Nothobranchius furzeri: one gene and its partners. The main gene of each other region encodes a partner of the protein of the gene in region 2 in a complex. Links are inferred from orthologs where the notes say so. Each region holds a gene or a part of one and is shown on either strand. Other genes may lie near its edges. The genes, in order: nup93, ranbp2 and sumo1.

Region 1 (3,650 bases), on a different chromosome or scaffold from region 2:
ATTTGAACTTTCCGGGCTGAAAAAATCTCTTAGAAAATCATTTCAAATCCGATTTCTTTGACACTCATAACTGTCAACATCTAAGCTGACCAAAATAGCATCCTCATCTAAGAATCGTGGAGGTTATTTTTAACATCGTCCTCTGGTGTAAAGTGGGATTTGTGTGCTATGGGAGCATATCCCAGCATGCAGTGGGTAACACCCATGTGTGCTGGGGTTTTACCCACTGTTTGACCTCATGTGGACACGCAGGTTTCTCAACCCCCAGAATGAAAAAGCATCCATCAGAAATGGTCGGTGCTGCAGACACACTCGAGTTGTGCAGCAGATGGTTGGTGTGTCTGCTGCTCGTGGCTGTGAGGAACGATTATTCTTCTGTGGACTGAAGCGCAGCTGTGAAGTCATCTGTGGCTTTTTGGTGTGTTACAGCCGAGCTTCGTGAGTGAAGTGACAGCTCCAGGGAGGAGTGCACTAGATAGTGTGGAGGTGGCTTATGGACGGCAGGTGAGTCAGCAGCAGTCTGTCTGTCTTCATGTTCACTGAAATTTAAAATGCAGCTTCAGAGGTTTAGTCTGAGAGCTGCAGATTTACGGGTTGTGCTGTTGTGTGCCTTTTGTTAAATTAACATCATTCTAACAACATTTCCTCTTACATTTCTGTCCTGAGGAAGCAGTTTTAGTGTGTGAGGCAGTCGGCTCGGTCATTTGGTTGAAATCAGGGTCAAAGCAAGCCAGGAAGTGACAGATCAAAGATATTGATTCATATGGCTGTAGAGGGGGTGAAACCTCTTCATCGCTCCCTCTCATCGTCCTGTCTGACCTTTTGTTTTTCCCTCCATGCTTTTTCTGGATCTGCTGGATGACACCGTGTGTGTGTTGTGTGTGTGTGTGAGAGAATGTGTCGGCACATTGCGTGCGGTGTCATTTGTCTCATTTTTGTTATCCTCTTTGATGACCTCTTAAATGTTTTGATCCTCTTTCTGCTGTTTTTTGTTGTGAACCACTTGGCTCGATGGCCTTAGGGCCGTCGTTTGGCTGTGAACCTGATGAGAACTTTCAGTCGTTCCTCGCTTTGTCTCATTCAGATCTATTGTTTTAACGAGAAGATTGTAAATGGACACATTCAGCCTAATCTGGGGGATTTGTTAGCTGCAGCGGCAGAAAGTCTGGATGACAAGGTAAGAAACGGGGTTTTTGTCACGATGGGGGCGATTTGTATCCCCATCAAACCTTAGCATCCAGGAACCATTTTCAGAAGTCAGGAAATGTGTGTTTTTGTTTGTGATGTCATTGTTTTCTCACCTTCTTTAACACAAAAATGATTTCCATGGCGTACATGAATTTGTGAACCAGTCGGCATGCTGCAGCATTTTTATATTCAGATTCCTGTCATGAATAAATGGTCTTAACCCCCCCCCCCCCCCCGCTGTCTTTATGGGTGACCCCACCAGGAAAGTCGACCATTGAGCAGGATTGGGTCCACGTGGCAGGGGTGAGGTGGTGCTCACTCCTCACCCCTGCCACGTGGACCCAATCCTGCTCAATGGTCAACTTTCCTGGTGGGGTCACCCATGAAGACAGCGGGAGGGTTAGTTATAACAAGTTTGAGGAGATAAACCATTAATGAAGTGATTAAAGCCACACTGTGCAACTTTTTCATATTTTAATATCATTTTCTTGAGCCAGTATGTGCTAAGATGACCCTATGACCCTTTACAGGGTTAATGAAATGTCACTCAGACCCCACCTCCCTCAGAGTGCGGGTTTGGTCCCTGTTGGACTTGGTGAAGTGGCGCGGGCATGGCAGCGCTGGAGTCTGCTTCCAGCAGGAACAGCAGCAGCTCACGAGGTAGAGCGGCTGTCCAGTAATCAGAAGGTTGCTGGTGGTGGCCAGAGGGACCGGTGGCGTCTGTGTTCGGCAGACCTCGCCTCTGTCAGTGTGCCCCGGGGCAGCTGTGGCTACATCGTGGCTCATCATCACCTGCATGCAAACGGGTGGATGAATGACTGATGGTGTGGTGAAGCGCTTTGGGGGGTTGTAGAACCCTAAAAAGGCGCTACATGAATAAAGATCGTTTAGCATTCCTGCTTGTTTTAGACAACAGCTGGTTTGTTTGAGTTAGTGATCACTCCTCCTGACCTGTAGACACTAATGAAGGCCGAGGAGACGTTTCAGCAGATAGGTTCAGGTGTTAAAAAGACGAACGCACACACAGCAAGGAGAACAGTTTCACTTTTGGTTTTATTAACTGGACACCAGGGGGCGCTAATAGCAAGCCAAAACTTCAGTCTCCCTAACAAACAAACGTTCTCTCCTGCTGTTTGAAGCCCTTTAAATAAATGATGCTCTTAGAGTCTGCTTGAGGCGTCGCAGTTTTAATATTTTTCATGAAGCTGTGTCCCCCTCTGTCCTCCAGAACGTCTCAGAGCTGTGGCTTATGGTGAAGCAGATGACAGATGTGCTTCTGGTTCCAGCCAAAGACACCCTCAAGAGTCGCACTTCAGTTGAGATGCAGATGGCCTTCGTGCGTCAGGCGCTCAGCTTCCTGGAGAACAGGTAGCTGGCTTTGGAACCGTTTCAGCGACCGCTCAAGTTCAAGCGATGCGTTTTCATTCATCTGGAGTTTAGCTGAAATTCAGGTTTTGCTGAACTGGCAGATATAAACACCACACGATGGGAACGGTCTTTGGGAATCTCCACCAGGCCCAACTGGGAGGTGTGCCTGGAACATACCAGCTGGTCCGCAGCTTCCTCAACATCAAGCTGCCGGGGCCCCTTCCTGGCATGCAGGTAAGGCTCCAACTAGCATCATCTCTCACTGGAAATCTGAGTAAAAATAGACAAAACCGTGCAAAATTAACTGTATAACCAATGATGTGCTGTGTTCTTTTCAGGGTTTCGTTTTTGGACTGAATATTTGTTAAGAACATTTCTAAGAAATGATCATTTGTAATAAATGTGTCTGAAACAGGATGGTGAGATAGAGGGCCACCCAGTGTGGGCTGTGGTCTACTACTGCCTGCGCTGTGGAGATCTGAACGCAGCCATGCAGGTGGTGAGCAAAGTGCACCACCAGCTGGGAGACTTTAAGACCTGGTTTCAGGAGTACATGAACAGCCCCGACAAACGGTGAGAACAGTTCAGATTATTTCTCTCTGTCGCTGCGAGCGTTTCCTCGCCATCGCCAGTAAAACCGCAGTTGTGTGTAATCCCTTCAGCCTCTCCCCGACTTCAGAGAACAAGCTTCGTCTTCACTACCGCAGAGCGCTGAGGAACTGTGCCGACCCGTACAAGAGAGCCGTCTACTGCCTCATCGGGAAATGTGACGTCAGTGATAACCATGGAGAGGTGGCAGATAAAACAGAAGACTACCTCTGGCTTAAGGTACGCTTTACTTTTACTCTCAATAGTGTAAAGATCAACCTTGAAACTAAAATCATCTCAGATTGGTTCCTGCTGCAGCTCCGCGCCGCTGTGTGGCTTTTAGTTGAAGCCTTCACTCGTCTCCCTGTGTTCCTTCTGCAGTTGAACCAGGTGTGTTTTGATGATGACGGCAGCAGCAGCTCTCCTCAGGACCGACTCACTCTGGCACAGTTACAGAAGCAGCTGCTGGAAGACTACGGTACGATAACGCCTTTCACTTTCATCCA
Region 2 (3,650 bases):
TTCGGTTGCTGACGCTTCATTTCTGACCAGACAGGCATTGCAATGCCACTGCCCGTTTTTCTTAGCAAAATCAGACCCAAGTGCTGATGTTGCAGCAGGGTTTGGACTTTGACAAGCAGCGCATTTGTCAGCTGATGCTTCATTTCGCACTTCACACACAGCACAGTCCCATTGTCCAGACTTCTTACTAAACTGTGCAAATCCAGAGTCTGAGACAGCCACAGAGGGCTGTGCAGCAGGTGCATCTGCAGCAGGTGTTGTTTGCGCCATCACAGATGTGATGGCATGTGACAGCATGTGCAGAGCTGCAGTTTTAGGAGCCTTACAAGAAACGCAGCACTCTGCAGAGACCTCATTCTTTGAAGAACACTTGTTACAGTCCCATTGTCCAGACTCCTTACTAAACTGTGCAAAACCAGAGTCTTTCACATCTGCATCAACAGCAGGTGTGGTTTGGACCATCACAGATGTTGGAGCTACAATTTTAGGAGCCTTACAAGAAATACAGCTCTCTACAGAGGCCTCGTTCTTTGTGGAGCACTTCTTACAGTCCCATTGTGACCCAAATCCAAAGGTAAATGCACTGGCTTTTGTGTTGGCAGACTTTGAGGAGCTGGTGCCAAATGTAAAAGAGGATGGTATAGAAGCTCCAAAAGCACCAAATCCAGAGAATGTGGAACCTGAGCTGCTGGGATTTGATGCATCAGTACCAAATTTGAAAGTAAATTGAGTCCCTTTGGTTTCCCCAGAAGGCTGCATTTCTGGTTTTGATGATGATTGTGGATTGGCATGTTGGCACGCCAAACACCGCACATCTGTTGGCTTATTTCTCACACAGCACACAGGACACTCCCAATCCCCTTCTTTAAGTGCAAACCGAGCTGCCAGCGAGTCTTTTAAATTTCCCTCTTTTTTCTTCTGCTGAGTTTTCTTTTCTGCTGGTTTGAGTAAAACTTTCTGAGCTTCCTCAAACTTAGCTTTGAAGAGGGCTGCCTCATCTACCGTTTTGAAGCGAATGGCCAGTTGTTCCGGTTTCGGCTCTTCATCTGCATAATCGATGGCGTTCCACACCCAGGATTTGTCAGAACCAGCGTTTGGTTTCAGCAGCATGTCAGCAGTGATGTAGTGGTTTGCACAGATCTTAAGAACTTGCTCTCTTCTCATCAAGAGGCGGACCTTTCCTTTTGTGCTGTGTTTTAGGATTTTAACATTGCCTATGCCTCGTTCTTTCCACTCTTTTGTCTCCGTGTCAAAACGATACAATTTCGCCCTGTTGCAAAACATTTCCTCTTCCTCTTCTTCACCTGTTTTTACATCTACCTTATCAGGCAAAGGAACAATTGGCTCAAAATGGGGACCATCCTCATCTTCTTCAGCATGAGCACTATCACTGTCGCTCTCTATTGCTTTTTCCAGCTCTGTTGTCTTGGCAGCAACAAAAACTGACTTGGTAACTTCAATAAACTTAAATGGCTGCTCCGCTTTCCCAAAAAGACTTCCAGCTTTCTGTGTAGGATCAACAAATGAGAAGCCGGCCACGTTTTTATTTCCAAAGGTGAAGATTCCTGTTTGGCTGGAGGGCTGCTCCTGGGCTGGAGACTTTTCTGGATCAGCATCCGTTTTCGTAGGAATGTCCGATGTGAGGAGACCAAGCAAACTTTCACTGTGCTTGGCTTGAGAAGATGAGAAAGTGAAATCTCCATCATTAGATTTAAAGTTGGAATTGAATTTGAAAGCAGTTGAGGGTGCTGACTGGGCAACTGCTCCCGTACCAAAGTTTGGCACTCTGGGGACTTCAGCAGGAGCATTTTGGTTGAAGGCAAGTTTCCCGAAGTCCACAGGCTTCCCCTCAACACTCTTTGGTGGTTGAACAGGGACTACAGATGGCTTGGTGAAGTAGCCGGGTTCAGGTAGAGAAGGATTGGTGGATTGATGGGTCACACCTTGGCTATAGTATTCTTCACCATATGGGGAGAGAAGGTTTGTGGCTGGTGATTCAAACCGGAGAGGGGCACCAAATACTTGTTCCTGCGGAGGGTAGATGCACGTTGGGGCTGTCTGGAGGGGAGGTGTATGAGTGGGCTGCTGGTAGGCATACATATGCTGCTGTGGGGGCATACGGTTCACACCATACATTGGGCCCTGGGTAAACAAAACATAAAAAAATAATCTTTTAACATCTTGTGCAAATATATTTTTGTAATCCAACAATTGGAGACAATAATTACCTTGGTTGGAGTCACATTTGCTGCTGTGCGCAAAAGATACTGAGAGTTATAAGCTGGAGACTGGTTGTAATACAGAGAGGATCCCGAGGTGGCAACTTCAAAAGGAGGAACAAGACAGATCAATAAAATGATGGAAATGTGCATTCGAAAGTCATTTAGAGCTCTGTAGAACACAGACCTGTCAGGGGCGCTCCGTGGTAGGACTGTACAGGAGTAAAAGGCTCATTCAGGCCTTCTGCCCTGTAGCCATCACTGTAGACCTTATGTGGAGAGCCTGCATTCACTGAGGCGTTGTGTTTCAGATCATGAACCTCGTTCTGCAAAACAGAGACGTGGTGATTAAAACAAAACCGTTATTTAGATCTCATTTAGGTTTAAAAGCCTCTTCATAAAAGGAAAACCACTCCCCAGTTGCACATCTGAAATGGGTTCAAAAGTCCTGTTACTGCTGTACATCACAGAACGGTGAGATCTGAATAACTAAAACAACTCCTCTCTAACTCTGACCTTGAGGGCTTCGACTTGCTGACACAGCATCTGAAGGAGACTTTTGTGGTCCTCAACCCAATGAGGTGGTGTCTTGGGTGAAATCTGCAAAATGTAATAAATTATAGAAATGCACAGATTTGTGGTTTATCATATAACGAGTGATTTGGACTCACCAGTCGTTTGGAGGGAGAAAGAATGCTTTTGTTTGGAGAGGGAGATGAAAACTTGATGTGTGAGATGGCTGCACTGGTTTCTGTGGGATGAGCAGGGCTGGAGTGAACTGGTCCTCTTTGACACATCATCTCCTTCTTGTCCTCTTCCTCTATGTCCTCCACAGTCTCGCCGAGCTGCTGGTTTACATCGTTTAGGAGGTCCACCACCTCCTCCATGGACACAGGAAGCTGCAATACAAACAAAAAAAAAAAAAACACTAAGGCTACTGATTTTCAGCTAACAAGTAAAAACTGTGGAGAAAAATGTACAAAAAAAAAAAAAAAAAAAAAAAAAAAAAAAAAAAAAAAAAAAACAAGTCAAGTAATCTGGGACTAACCCTATCAATGTCATCTGCATTTCCGTTGTAGATCTTCAACAAATACATCCTGAACTTTCTCAGAAAAGTTATGCATCTGTCTTGGGTCTCCTCCACACCATTGGTGGCCTCTTCTGAAAGTCGCTGGTAGATCTGAAAAGCAAAAATTAAATTAAATAAATAAATAAACAAAACAAGCTAAATTAAAGCTGCAAGCAGCGTCGTTCGGCCCTCGCAGCTCCGGCCTGGCCGGCAGTCTGGTGCACCCGGGCACATCTACTGAACATAAACATCGACCACACCGACACCAGAAACCGCGAACGGTCTCCTCGTCTGCATCTCACCCTGACTCAGCATCTTCTCTGAGCCCACCGTTAAATTACACATCTAACCACTAGGGGATA
Region 3 (3,665 bases), on a different chromosome or scaffold from region 2:
TAATATACAACAAATCTTTGATGGCTTGATTATTATTATTATTCTGATCTACTACAGCAATCAATTTCCCTCTGGGATTAATAAAGTATTTTTGAATTGAATTGAATTGATTACATGCTGGTCCAAGTTCATTCAGTAGTGATTAACTTGACCCCTATTAATTCCAATTTAGTTCAGTTATTTGCAGTCAAATCCAGTCATGTTATGATAAAATTTAAATTGTTTCATTAAACACTATGTGTAAATGTGCATTCAACGCATAATTTTACCACTTTATATTCCCAAACAGCAAAATTCTGCTGCAAGAAGAACAATTCGTTTGATTATCTTTGGTGTGTTCTTGCTGTGTTGAAATTCTAATTCCATCTTTTAGTTTTTTTAAACACAGAAAGGTTTTATTTACCTGGGTTTTGCAGCCGCAAACGAAACGTTGCAGGTAAATAAAATCTTTCTGTGTTTTAAAAAGAACTAAAAGATGGAATTAATTTGATCACATTTTAAACACACCGCTCACTTCAGATCAATAACACTAAAACTGTGTCTTGCGATGGGATCAACATATTAACGTGCGCCTCATTGTATGATTTTTCAGATAAATGCAGTAATAATGATTATTAGACTTTTTTATTCATTGCAATTTGTTTGAATTTACATGAGCAAATGATTATAATTACTTTTAGACAATGATTGCTACTTCTGATAGTTTGAACATTTTATCTAAATATTATTTAAAAATATTTGTTGTTCACTGCTTTCATTAGAAGCGCAACAACAGCATAAAAATATAAAAAATACTATTGTTTCTCTAATCTGAAGGGAGTTTTATTGTGAAAAAACGTCTTTTCGTCACTTCCGGCTAATGTCGAATTCCCATAACATCTAACGAGAGCTGCAGCGGAAAGCTGAAGGTACATCTATTGTCAGGAAATTTGAGCCAAAACACAGAAAATAAGAAAATGTCAGACACGGTAAGACCCCAGTGTTTGTGGAAAACAACAAATCTTCTGTCGGAACTGTTCAGAAGACGCACAAATTGATTGTTTTTTTAGGCTCGTTTGGTTATCTAACATGCTACTAGCCAGCTAACGTAGCTTCAGGGACACAAAACACAGCTCTTTTTTGACCTTTTAGATAAAAATTTTGCTGTTATTTTTTAAAATGTCCAACAGAAACTGCGTGTTATTATATTTTATAGTCAAGTCGTTCAAAAAGATGAGCGATTTTGTTAAACAAACCTTCGAAGTGAACACTCAGGCCTGTTTGAACGTGGGTGCGTGTCTGTATTGTGCTGTTTATGTTGTTTGTTTATTTTTAAGGAGACAAAACCATCCAGTCAAGACGGCGGCGATAAGAAGGATGGCGAGTATATAAAGTTAAAAGTGATTGGTCAGGTAGGTTTTAATATCATTACAGCTAGTGAGATGGCTTTAGTCTGGTTATTCCTGCTTATTTACTGATTCACTAACTCTTTTTATATAACGGCCCTCCATGTAACCATTTTTTTAAATGGTTTTAAATTCATTTTGTAATTTAGTTTGAATTTACTGGCTGTAGTTATGTCCAGATTGGTATTAACTGCTGCAATTCTTACTGTTTATGCATTTTCTCAAATTATTTTACATCATTAGACTTTTTGTAAAACAACGCAAATGCTGCTAGAGAAGCATGCAGCTTACCTTAGTCTAGGCCAGGGGTCTGCAACCTTAACCCCCCCCCCCCCCCCCCCAATAAATAACACTTATTTACAACTACAGCTGTTGCAGAATCCTTCTGTAAAAAGTAATTTTATTAGACAAGACAGCATTATTTTTATAGCACATTTCCTCCACAGAGGCAACTCAATGTGCTTTATAATAAAGAGACAATTTCCATCTTTCACTTCTTTTTACAACACAGAAAAGGTTTCATTACCTTCAAAGTTTCGTTTGCGGCTGCAAACATCGTCAGGCTGACGCCGATGGTGGCGTCACTTCCTTCGTTTAGCGGGCAGCAGAAGACATCGTCGCCCTCTGCTGCCCGCTCTCCCCTCTCCGATGATGCAGTCCCATGCGCGAGCCAATGAGTAAACTCCATCGTCTCTGTTCATGGTCCCACATCCTTATCTCGATAGCTTCTTTTATCCATCTTTTGTTTTTCTGTTTGGTGTTTATGATCCTTGTGTTATCCCACATAATGGACTGGGACAACACAAGGATCATAAACACCAAACAACAGAAAAACAAAAGATGGATAAAAGACGCTATAGAGATAAGGAGACATGGATGTGGGTCCATGAACAGAGTTGATGGAGTTTACTCGTTGGATCGCGCATGGGACTGCATCATCGGAGAGGGGAGAGCAGGCAGCAGAGGACGAGGGCGACAACGTCCTCTGCTGCCCGCGGATAAACGAAGGAAGTGACGCCACCATCGGCGTCAGCCTGACGATGTTTGCAGCCGCAAACGAAATGTTGCAGGTAAATAAACCTTTTCTGTGTTTTAAAAAGAACTGAAAGATGGAATCTGAAACTAAACACAGCAAGAACACACCAAAGATAAATAAAGAGACAAAACAAAAACACAAATGAACATTAGGGTTACATAAAAAGAAAACATTGAAGACTAAAGCTGGAAAATTACCATAATATCAATGAAACATTGAGAAGAGAAATAATGTGGTCAGTCAGGAATGACTAAGTAGGTGTAAGGAGACTAAAACTAAGGCAGTAAAAACTGGTACAATGAACTACAAAAAACTTGTTGAATGTCTCTTTTTCTTTTAGAGAATTGGGCCACTGAAAAACCAGTTTTTCCCCTCAGAATTCTGAGAAAAAAAAGAGACAAAACTCTGAGATTAAAATCAGGATTCAGACATTCCCCCTGAGATTATAATCAGAAATATATTTTGTCATATTCTGTAAATATTTTTTGAAGAGATTCTGCTATTAAAGAGCAAGTCACCCCCAAATCAACTTTTTTTTTCTGATAAACTATATAGTGTGTCTAATCACGCTGCAGACACGTGTAGTCAATAGTTTTGTACTTTAGTGCATTTTAGTTCAAATTGTAATTTTCTGCCTAAAACTGTCAGTGTTGTGCCGTTGTCAGGTAAAAACCCTGCACTGCATTAGAATCTAAATCTGCCATCGCTATTGGCTAAGAGGTATGCTATGATGTAAACTGGTCCTTATGATGTCACAATGCCGTTGTGAGCCTGTGTGTGTATTTGTTAGTGGCTCCGCCCTCTCGGTCTGCCAGGCAACAGCATTTGTTGCATTTTTCAAACATGAAGAGGGAGTGAAGTAAGTTTCTTGTAGGGGGTGACTTGCTCTTTAAGTTATAAAATTTAGAAAACAAACGTGTGCGTACACAGTATCACTATTTTTTCTTTGGATGTTGATATTTGTTAAAAATGATGTAAAAAACACAAATAGATGTAAAAATAAGTACTGTTGTGGATATTCAATGCAATTATTCCTTAAAAAACTGAAATGCTGCCTAAACCTGCATTTGTTTTTTTTTTTTAAAGTTAAATAGATTTGGAAAACACATTATTTTATATTATGAGCCAAAGTTCTTTGAGCCATTGTGGAAGATCCAGAAATCCTTTTGGCCTTGTCGTATAGGGTGTGTGATTTTTTTAATGCAACACGTTTCCCTGTATACATCAGACGTCATATGTGTGAT

The links.
Region 1: ranbp2 (region 2) and nup93 share a complex: the UniProt entries of both Homo sapiens proteins name them as parts of the nuclear pore complex. The link is inferred for Nothobranchius furzeri from reciprocal best matches to the Homo sapiens genes RANBP2 and NUP93.
Region 3: the proteins of ranbp2 (region 2) and sumo1 are in contact, whole or in part, in a crystal structure (PDB 1Z5S), measured with the Homo sapiens proteins. The link is inferred for Nothobranchius furzeri from reciprocal best matches to the Homo sapiens genes RANBP2 and SUMO1. Residues at the interface, in NP_006258.3 of Homo sapiens: Asp2631, Val2632, Leu2633, Ile2634, Val2635, Tyr2636, Glu2637, Leu2638, Pro2654, Thr2656, Cys2659; in NP_001005781.1 of Homo sapiens: Asp30, Ser31, Ser32, Glu33, Ile34, His35, Phe36, Lys37, Val38, Lys39, Thr41, Thr42, His43, Lys46, Leu47, Ser50, Arg54.

The regions. Positions count from the first base shown.
Region 1 is NC_091744.1:86,683,445-86,687,094, forward strand, and holds part of nup93 (nuclear pore complex protein Nup93), read left to right. Parts: intron 1-429; coding exon 430-504; intron 505-1,084; coding exon 1,085-1,177; intron 1,178-1,648; exon of another isoform or gene 1,649-2,416; coding exon 2,417-2,556; exon of another isoform or gene 2,557-2,657; coding exon 2,658-2,790; exon of another isoform or gene 2,791-2,826; intron 2,827-2,971; coding exon 2,972-3,129; intron 3,130-3,218; coding exon 3,219-3,384; intron 3,385-3,525; coding exon 3,526-3,622; intron 3,623-3,650. UniProt on the Homo sapiens protein: Plays a role in the nuclear pore complex (NPC) assembly and/or maintenance. May anchor nucleoporins, but not NUP153 and TPR, to the NPC. During renal development, regulates podocyte migration and proliferation through SMAD4 signaling.
Region 2 is NC_091747.1:23,225,195-23,228,844, reverse strand, and holds part of ranbp2 (E3 SUMO-protein ligase RanBP2), read right to left. Parts: intron 3,400-3,650; coding exon 3,268-3,399; intron 3,119-3,267; coding exon 2,891-3,118; intron 2,820-2,890; coding exon 2,736-2,819; intron 2,546-2,735; coding exon 2,407-2,545; intron 2,324-2,406; coding exon 2,229-2,323; intron 2,143-2,228; coding exon 1-2,142. UniProt on the Homo sapiens protein: E3 SUMO-protein ligase which facilitates SUMO1 and SUMO2 conjugation by UBE2I. Involved in transport factor (Ran-GTP, karyopherin)-mediated protein import via the F-G repeat-containing domain which acts as a docking site for substrates.
Region 3 is NC_091743.1:83,214,608-83,218,272, forward strand, and holds the start of sumo1 (small ubiquitin-related modifier 1), read left to right. Parts: upstream 1-819; 5' UTR 820-956; coding exon 957-968; intron 969-1,316; coding exon 1,317-1,391; intron 1,392-3,665. UniProt on the Homo sapiens protein: Ubiquitin-like protein that can be covalently attached to proteins as a monomer or a lysine-linked polymer.